2 linked regions of the Drosophila melanogaster genome follow. The protein of the gene in region 1 interacts with the protein of each later gene in a pairwise test. Each region holds a gene or a part of one and is shown in the gene's direction. Other genes may lie near its edges.

Region 1 (3,549 bases):
GTATAAGCAAGAAGGAGCTTTATCGCATTGTATAAATAATATGGTGGGGCAACATTGAAATTCAAATGAAATTGCGATTGAAGGAAAGCGTGTACATATTCAAAATTGATGAGCGAAAATAATTTTATGATTTGGTATACATTCAACGGTTTCCTCGAAACGAAAAACCATTTGAATAATATTTGTAGCATATCTTCCAGCTAACAGGTTGTGTGCAATCAATTGAGTGAATCAAATCAGCTGAAACTTCAATAGCTTGCAACAAAGTATTATTTTGGTGGTGGATGGGGGATACAAATTCGCACTTGTTGTTGCCAAACACGTGCAGCGATTTAGCACGCATTACATTACAATGCGGCTCCGTTTCAAGAGCACCTGTTGCCAGCGGCGGCGGAAAATGTGTGGAAAATTTGTATGGAAAATGGGGGAAAACGCGAAGCAACCACTCGAGGAGTAGAATCAGCTCAAAAGCTGGGCGTGTGCTCCACTTGGAACACAAAAGGAAAACAAAAAGAAAAACGTGCGTGGAAATTCCCGCTATCTGTGCCCCCTTTTTCGGTTCAGCGAAGGTGAACATATCGATTTCTGATTTAGCCACTTTGTTATGCTAATTTCCCCGGCTTTCCCGTCCTCGATTTTCCTCTGTTATTCTTTTTTTTCAGCGTCCTGCTCCTGTGTTGACAATTTCGATGAGCGCGTGTCGCGCATTTGGCAACCCAAATTTAATTGGCAACCCGTGCGGGAATTTCGCCTGTTTACGACAGATTCTGGACCAGATTTTATGGTAGCAATTCCATGCACACGTTTGCCCACTTTTGGGCGACTTGGAGGCGATGCACAAGACGCGGCCAACTTTTGGGCTTTTCCACGGCTAATTGAGAGCAACGAAAATGGCTTTGTTGGCGGCGGTAATAAATCGACTTTTAACTGGCGTGTGATATTTTGGCATTTATATTTCGGCAACGGCCATCAATCAGAGTCATAAGGCATAAAAAGGTGCCTGGAACGTGATCGCAATGGGTTTCTTGCAGCTCTTGCCACTTGCTTGCTTTTTTTTTTTTTGTCTTATATTTTATACTTTTTTGCAGCTGGTGGCGGCGGCAGTAAAAGTTGCTGCAGTGTAGCGCGTGCATTCGTAAATGTGATCCATGGCTTTGGGCGAATGAAGTGCACATGATAATGGCTTCTGAGGTGGAAGAGTTTAAGATGTTGATCCGAAGAGAGGGGTGTGTTAAGGTGCATATCTTATATCTGAGGAATTTATTTAGAAGATGTCTGAAATAATACATATGCTTATTAATTTTAACACCATCTATCCGACTACAGCAATTCTGAATTGGAATCTAATAAAAAATAAGATTGGATAGGTTGACTTCTTGACTTCAAACGGAGTCACAAAAGCATTCACATCTTTACTTTACTGATTCGGAGTTCTTAAACTGTTAACAATTTTTTTTTTTTCGGTAAAGTGTGAAGTTATACCTTCCACCTTAATTACCTCATTTGAAGTTTTGACCACCGACTTGTGGTTCGTACTTCCACCGAATTTCGCCTGCGGATGGGGCATTGCAAAACTTGTCGCATGCATTTGCCGCACGATTCGCTTGTCGATTGCACGTCGTGCGCAGATCCCTTAATGGAGTTTTTACCTTTCGGCTCCTCTAGTTTCCAGACCCCTCCTCCACTCCTCCTCCACCTACTCCTCCACCCACTAAATCAGCATAACTCGGATCGTGGTATATATAAACCTGCAATGGTCAGCCAAAATCGATTCATTTCGTGTGAAAGTGTCGCGGAGAAGTGACTTAATACGGAAATCGAAAACGGAAGAAAGCATAACGGGTGAAAATGTTAAATATTTCAAAAGCAAGTGAATCGAAAGTGACTTTTAACTGAAAAATAATAGTTTATCTTTATATATAGATACCTTTGATATGTGTTCTGATGTGTTTTGGTGCTCCAGCGCTTGGAAGTTTCCATCATGAACCATCGACGGTGGGCGTTCCCGTGGGAGTTCCAGTCCCAGTGCCAGTTCCTGTGCCTTCTCCATATCCGGTTCCATCTCCAGTGGCGGTACCTGCTCCAGTAGCAGTACCCGTTTCCGATACCGTCACCGTGCCAGCGGCCTTTAGTGCCCATCAAGGATTTGCGTACGGAGCTGTCGATCACTATGGTCCACCACCTCCGGCGATCTTTAAATATGCTACAACCTATGCGGCACCACAGCCAGTTATTAAGTACTCCCTTGGAGCTCCAGTGACCACTACCACCACCACCTACACCGGATTTGCAGCACCACCACCACCAGCCGTTCATTATGCTGCAGCAGCTCCACCACCACCACAGTTCATAGCCCGGTTTGCTCCTCCACCCACTGGCTATCAGTTTGCAGCTGCTGCCCCGTCATATGGCAGGTACAAGCTCCACTTTGGGTCACCACCTCATCATTCTCCGGCCGCCGTTTATGGAGCTCCCCCTCCTGTAGCATTTAGCACTCAGGGCTGGTAACTCGAGAAGCGCCAGCTGGGCTCTGGCTCATCATGCATAACTATGAATGATAATTTCCTCAAATTAGCAATTAATTAAATCTAAATAATGTTGTTATGTTTCGTATTATACGCGACTGGTGAATTTATGCGAAGAACGCGAAGCGTAGCGATTAAATTATGCTTATGTCAATACCCATAAATAATTCAGATGTTTTCATGGCTCGAAGTTATTTTTTGGCTCAGCCAATTTTGGCCAAAGGCGAGGCTTGACTTTGAGAGGGCCCAGAAAAATGAATAAATAATATAAATTTGCCGCTATTAAAGCTATGACTACGGATCAACTGACCTAAGTCAATGAATGAAAGAGGGAAATAGCGGAGCCATCCGTCAATTGGGTCAACAGTTTAAACTTTAAAGAGCCTTTGAGTTCACAGATAGACAGCTTGATTACACTACAAATATTGTTATTAAACAAATAAATCAAGTAAATTGTGTATTTCCGTATTTAAGTTTGAATACTAATATATTTGGGTGGCGGCTTAACATTTAGATTTAATGTTTAAGAAGACAGAACTGTATTTGTCCACTTTTTGGATATTAATTGGATCTTGTTATCTTGAATTAGAATACATAAGTATTTTCTTAGATACCTACATCTATAAGTCAATAAATCAAGCTATTACACTATAAACAGCACATTAGCTAAATTACTAGAAGTACAAGAACGCTATAGTCGAGTTCTTCGACTATAAGATACCCACTACTCATCTAGTGGGCGAACGAAATAGAAATTTTAACATTTTCTGTTGGCAAATCAATGTTAGTAAAATGAAAAAAAAAAAATGAATAAGTAAGTTTCTGGGTGTAATATTAAATTAATATATCTGAATTTTAAATAAAAACAGGAAAAGTTCCTCCCTTTTCTTTCAGTGTAAACCTCATTCGGATCCGCATTTATTGTGAGTGTATTTTACTATCTAAAGGTCTACGAGTAACGGGTATAATAATAATAAATTTGTATTTAACATTAATTCCGATAGTGAAAAGTGGCTCCCCATTT
Region 2 (6,885 bases), 640 kb from region 1:
TTGAAATGTTCGACGCGTGCGCGCACTTGCCAAATAATTTGAATCGAACGGAAAGCCTTGGCGTCCACGGCGTGGCCTAAATAAAATATATTTCTGGCCGCGCGAAGCCAAGAAAAGCCCATAAGCAATAATAATATGCATATTTGCTAAAACAAAAAGTTATTACATGGGCCAGTTTTGACCGAAAGTTTCACTGCCACAATTAAGTTTTAATGTCAAGAGATCTAAGCGAGTGATTTCCCTGAAACAAGTTCCTACGCACTCGAAAACTTTCTTCGCCGAATGCACTAAAAGAACGTACAGAAGAGCACTAAAAAGCTTGCCATAGCTTGACATAGATTCTATTCGGCCGGGTCTAGGGTTTGTATGGCTGAAATGGCCACGTTCTCAGCGTAGAAATCAATGGCTCACCTGGGAAGTAGCCGAGGTGCATAATTGGGTTAGCGTAGCAGCAGAACGGCCTGCATTGAAACCACAAATTACTGGGGCTCCGGCTCTCCCAGGTGCCAGTTAGCTGTTTCTGTTTATTTTCCCCCTCATAAACAACGGTTTGGGCTGGGATTCTCCTCCTCGCCGAAGGTCAGACTTAATTGGCCCGGGCCTAGGCAACGACATCCCACTAGCAGTCCCGTTTCGCCTGCATTTATAAATAGGCCCCAAGGTCTCTGGGTCTTGGGTCTTCGGTCTTCGGTCTTCGGTCTTCAACTTCTCGACTCGCTCTTCGGCTGCTTGGATTTCAGTTGGGGTTCGATTTATCGCCTTTTGATTGCTGCATTCCAATTGTGGATCAAGTGGTGCGTGTGGCGCATTCGGGGCTTACAACGTGTTGCTGCTAATTTCGTATGCTCCCTTCGGCTCTGCGCACTCGAAACCATAAATCTTGTGGCAATTTTATTGATGCCTGCGTGTGCCACAAAGGTCGACCCCCCGTTCGATGCTGCTTAATCAAGGAATATGCATTATTTCACAGCGCAGTCAGTAGCTGGCTGCTCGGGGCATAAAAGCCAATAAAAGAATAAATTGCAGTTGTATCACAGCAAAGTTAATCACAAAATTAATGGTTCTGGGCTAATAAAGACTGGTCTGCAATGAAAACAAATGACTTAAGGCACGAACCTGAAATCAATTTCTCTGATTTCAGACATTTGTTATTCATGATTATCGATCAAAAACGGTCCGAAGCTAAGTCTTAATCCTGACATCTGTTGATACCCGAGAAGTGTGTGAAGTCTTCACGCCGAAGTGCTTGTCAAATCAAAAAAAAAAAAAAAGAACATGACTCTTGAGTCACTATGTGCGAAACTTTCTAACGAGTTCCAGGCAAACATTTTAATTGAATTGCCCGGCAACGAATCGATTCTTTCATCACGGTAAGTCTCTTACCATTTTGGCTTATGTCATGTTCTGGGCCCGTTCCGAGCTGATTACCTTTCCACTTCCCACACGCATTTCGCTTCTATTCTCGTGGCTCACTCCACTTGTAATGGCCAGTCACTTCGCTCCTGTCCAGTCACACTCAATCAAGCCAATAAACGGCCAATTAATCAAAGTCAGCGCTGTGATTCTGTGTTCTTGCTAGGTGCGAGTTTGCGAAACAGTAGACTGAAGAAGCGACTGTCAGCACATTTAATCAAATGCTTGAGAAATATCTGACAATATGTTAGGCAAACTATTTGCCTAACCCAAGGGATCGGGGAAGATTTCGATCTGCGAAATCCTAGAGTTGTAAGCCTGCATATCAATTGGTGTTGTGTACCCTGGAGCTGGTAACCAAATCCCACAGATCCACGCCCCCAGATAAAAGCCAGGCCAAGGCGCTCGACTACGTGCCCGAATCGCGGTCTTCTCTTCGACTCTCTCTTCTGCCCAAAACCCAGTTCTCTTACACCTGATCGGGCCCTGTTTTCTTGGCCATTTCTTTCGCTTCGTCGTTTGCATCGCTAATGGAAATGTTATAAACAGACGCGCTGGGCCCGGCCAGCACTCAGTTCATCTTCAGACGTCGCCTGGCTCGCTGGCTCTTGGTTCTTGGTAGGAGTTCCATTTCCAGACCCTATTTATTGTGCGTGACAAAAAAAAAGAAAGAAAAACAACGGAACCTGAAACAATCGTAAATTGAAAGCTCAGCAGGATTGGTTTTATAGTGCTTTTAGTGTGTGTGATTTTGCCGCGTGATAACCCAGAGTGCCACTCATTCCCGTTCTCGTTTGCAGTTCAAGGATATATTGTCAAGGCGAGGATTGGTCAACGCCACGAACACCAAGCATTTATTGAAAAATCTGAAACTATTCACCAGAACCTCGCGTTAAAATGCGCTTTCTTGTTGTAAGTCAAATCGCATAAAAAAGAAAATTAAATACCATGAATGACTTAACTTCACATTTTGGGAATACAAAACGAAACTAGTTTATACCTGACCGCAATTAATCATTTATTGCTCTGTGCTGCCGCTGAACTCATTAACTCGTCAACTGGCCCAAGTTCGTGCCTTAAGTCTTTTGTTTCTTTCACTTCTGAATCGACACTAACTTTCACTAAGCGACTTTTTTGATTCTTGGCTTGGTTCTTTCCTTTTTTTGATCGCCTTAATTAGCCTTAATTATGCTCTGTGCCATATGCAAATATTAATAAGAGTGCCTAAAATCTTTTTGGGGTTTATAATAATCACAAATCAATTTGGACGCAAAGAACTATATTGGGGAAACTTTTTTTTATATGAATGCAAAAGGTTAAGACTTCTTTGTGCCAGTTATTGTTCACTTAGTAAAGGTTTTTCAAAAGAGTTAATTCTTTCTGAAAAGTGAAACCCTTTTGTCCATTCCATTTGAACGTGACAATATTCTAGCCCCACCCCAATTTAAAAAGTGAGAATTAATCATTCATACCTAGGAAGTATTGTTCCTTGCATTATTCATATTCCCATTATGAAAAGCATGCCCTTAAAAGTCAAAACTCTACAGCGACTCCCATAAGCAACAATGCCATTCAATTATAACCACAACCAATACAACCACTTGGGTTGAAAAGCCCAAAAAATAATTATGACTCAAAGAACATAAAATTAATATGCCGCAAACGTATAAAAATCATGCGTGGGCTAACAAATGGTAATATAAGTCTTCTTTTCCCCCTCCCAACTATCAAACAATCGGTCACATTTGTGTGGGGTTCTTAACTATAAGTGCACTGGTTTGTTTTCGAGTTTGTGATCGTTTCGATAGTGGTTCATAAATTAATCAATTTATGAGTGTAGACAGTTAGCCACACGTCCCAAGTCCATCAATCCCTGCTCAATTAGCTGCATTGGAATGGCTCTGGAATATCATTTAAGACCAAAAGACACCTGATCGGATGTGAAGATCAGGAGACAGACTCATTTATAACTTGTTTGAGAACATAAAATGCTGCGCTTAAACTTTGCATTCGAGCCATTAACCCAGTTTATTTTTGGACAAGACACACCTGATATGGGGTCGAATCGGCATCGTTATGTGAGGGCAATATAATAAATAAGGCGAAATACACAAAAGAAAGCAGACAGAAATACATCTTACTGCTTGGGGATGCAAGAGTTCTTGCAAATCAATGGCAACCAGGTTCGACAGCCTCTGCGCCAGAATCTCTTCTCTCGAGTTACGTTTCGGCACCGAAATCGTAACAGCCGCCTAGAGGTTCAGGTCAATGACACAACACGAGCCTCGACTTCGAATCCAGCTTTGGTTTTGGCTTTTGGTCTCAGTTCCTCTCGGCTTTGTGACATTTCGGCGCTGATAGATAGGCGTGCGGGCTGGTCGTTTCCACCGGCTAACGGTTGCGTCAATATTGACTTTGCCAAAGATGTGGAGAGCCGGCGAGAGTGAGTCAAATATTTGCCGATCGTGAGGTTCTTGACAATCGTATTCGAGGGAAAATCCGTCAAGTACATAAGCCGTTCCTTGCCACCTGGCTCTCACTTTTCGGCGTAGCTTTCAGCAGCGAAAGAAATTATGCAAATGTGCTGGAGGAGCAGGGAGAGAGAGACTTTCGCGACTTTCGGGACTTGACCGCATTCCACACGTGTGAATTTTGTATCCATTACGACATCAGAATACAGACACCCTATCTAACCGGCATAAATCATAGATCTCATTCATCTATTGTCACACATTTGTCTTTCAGCTCTCAACACTGCTTCTGGCCTCTTTGGCACTTGGCCAGGCTCAACAGCACGGTGGACTGGCCGTCGAGTAAGTAGACTAGTAGCTAGTTACCCAGCCCTAAGACCCCAAATAACCATGAAATGCCTTGCCTGCCAAATGTGACTGTGTCAACGCTAATGCTCATTCCAAGTAGAAGTTGATGCGCTTGCCTAGAACTATGTGACTAAACCGAAAAAAGCCCAGACTTGTGACTAACCCTCAAAACTCATTTCCCTCCACCCAACAACACATTACCCTGCATTAGCAACTAGAAGCTAACTCCACCAACAGATAGAGACCACCAAACAAACCCCACCTTTCGTTTGCAGAATTCAGAAGCAGCGGCTGGTCAAATTTCCCGAGGACTTTGAGCCCAATGCGGCCACTCCGTCCTCGGAAAAGGCGGACGAGGCCAAGCGCATCCTCGAGCAGATAGCCAAGGTTAACGAGGCCTTTGGCTACGTGAAGAAGCAGCCGGAGCAGCCCAAGCTGCCACCGATCCTTGATTCCAGTCAATACCTGTTCCCCAAGCCCGCCCATCAGCCATTTCACGCCCATCAGCACCACTTCTCGGGAAGTAATGGTCAGACCTTGTTAGAACCCTCAATTAGGGCGGTGAAACTCACAAGAAATGTGGCGGGCAGTTACAATGTGCCTCCCAGGTTGCGCCAGGCAATTGAGAGCACCTCCAAGGAGGAGAAGAAAGCGCAACTCTACTTCCGACCCAAACAGGTGGAGGTACCGAAGCCGAGTTCCGAACAAGAAGCACAGCAGCTGCCCGCCCACTTTGTGGTGCCCGTGCACCTGTACAAACTCAATAAGGAGGAGTATCTCAAGGAGCACGCCTCGCAGGAATACAAGATAAAGGGATACAAAATCATTGGCGATGTGGACAGCTTCTATGGCAAGGCGAAGGCTGGAAGAAAACAGGGCAAGACGACGCCCAAGTATCACCTGTTCTTCCTGCCCCGAGAACTGGCTCTCAATGAAGATGGCACCCCAAAAAGGGGTAATTCCACCACCATTGGTACGACCACCACAAAGGCTCCAGTGCCTGTGAACTTCAAGGAATATCGTTTGGACTCCCGCGAGAAGCCCGTGCATAAGCCACAGAAGATTCAGCCCACTTCGTCACCGGAATTAAATTCTTTGAACAGAAAGAAGGTTGGTTCCACAGCGAAACCCGTTCGCTTGAGTGGAAAGGATGCTGAACAGCAAATCTACCAGGGATCCACATCCCTTAATATCAAGGCTACATCTGCGCCTGTCCTGTTGAGTTCTACTTTACCACCATCTGGTGGCTTGCTGCCCAATCGGAATCGCTTAAGTCCATTCCGCATGCCCGGAATGAATATAGCTGAGATGCAGAATCAGACCTCGACTGCCATCAAGAATGCCTTTCAAAACATTTTCAAGCTCCCCTTCCGACCTCCAATGGCGGCCACAGCTGGAGAAGGTCCTGTGGTTGTTGGCAATGTTCCTGTGAAGAATCACTCAATCGATTCGATGGATTATAAATGGGAGGATGAAAACGAGGGCGCCGGCGATGGGATGGCCGATGATGTGGATACCATTGAGAACACAGCCGCGGAACTGGACAACAGTGCCTCCTCAGAGAAGCACTTGTTTGCTCACAAGGGCCATCACCTGATGCACACTGTGAGCCAGGTGGCCACCGCTCAGGAAAGCACCCAAAAGCAGGCATTGCGCGAAGGAGGAATCATCATTCAGCGGCTAAAGGTTCGCAGGGGCGGCATCGCTATCGCAGGACCCGGGGGCGTGGCCACGGCGGGCAGCGGAGGAACGGCGATTGTTGGTCCCGGTGGCTATGCTCTCACCCATCCACGGAGTCTCACCATCGCCGGTCCCGGGGCCAAGGTGATCTCCATACCGGCAGATGTGGACCTTAAAGATGCCCTGGCACGCACCGATCTGGAGACGAGAAGTTTTCCGCGAGAGGGAAAGATAGTGGCTACAGGACCAACGGTCTACTATGCTCCACCCACGGGCACAACAACCATGGAGGCGGATCAGGGGGCGGGGCTGGAGACGGGCCAGTTCGAGTCCTAATCCAGTTCGAGGCTTAAACCTAATAGCTATTATTTAGCACATTTAGTTAGGATCCATAGTTGGTATTGTCTAGTGTTCTAATAAATATTTGTATTTCGTAATTGTTTGGGCTTTTGCTTTCATCTTGTACATAGTAGTTTTAGATATCACACTTATTCCGCATGATATTAACCCGACACAGTTTAACCCCTCGAATTATTGCTGTAAATAATATACGACTAACCGGCGGTTCTCTTCACCATTTTCCTCTATCCCACTCTTCCTAAACCAAAAACTATCCTAACTCAAGTGCCTACTGGCGCACAACCAATATCGAGGCCTGGCCACCAGGAGCACCCGTCGCAGAGAAGTCCGGAAAACTCATTGCAGGATCTGCTCCGGCCCAGGACCTCACGCCCTATGGAGCCTATCAACCCGTGCTGTTCAGTGCCCCATACTACGCCGCCTACAATCTGCCCCTGGCCTATGTGGTGCAACCCACCATCGCCAGTGCCGATCAAGCCACCATAGCCAGTGCAACAACCACAACGACCACTACCACAACTGGCCGACCCGAAAGCTTAGCTGATGACAGCTCCAGCGAGTTGGAGAAACCAGAAAAGCTACAGGCTCTGCCTGCAGTGAAGACCCGAACCAC

The links. Proteins that work in one complex are often made in the same cells at the same time.
Region 2: the proteins of CG13045 (region 1) and CG11905 interact in a two-hybrid assay, tested with the Drosophila melanogaster proteins (one large-scale study listed by BioGRID).

What each region holds. Positions count from the first base shown.
Region 1 is NT_037436.4:16,289,193-16,292,741, reverse strand, and holds CG13045 (uncharacterized protein), read left to right. Parts: upstream 1-1,791; 5' UTR 1,792-1,866; intron 1,867-1,923; 5' UTR 1,924-1,944; coding exon 1,945-2,508; 3' UTR 2,509-3,030; downstream 3,031-3,549.
Region 2 is NT_037436.4:16,930,634-16,937,518, reverse strand, and holds CG11905 (uncharacterized protein), read left to right. Parts: upstream 1-1,982; 5' UTR 1,983-2,031; exon of another isoform or gene 2,032-2,213; 5' UTR 2,214-2,310; coding exon 2,311-2,325; intron 2,326-4,158; coding exon 4,159-4,226; intron 4,227-4,507; coding exon 4,508-6,248; 3' UTR 6,249-6,347; downstream 6,348-6,885.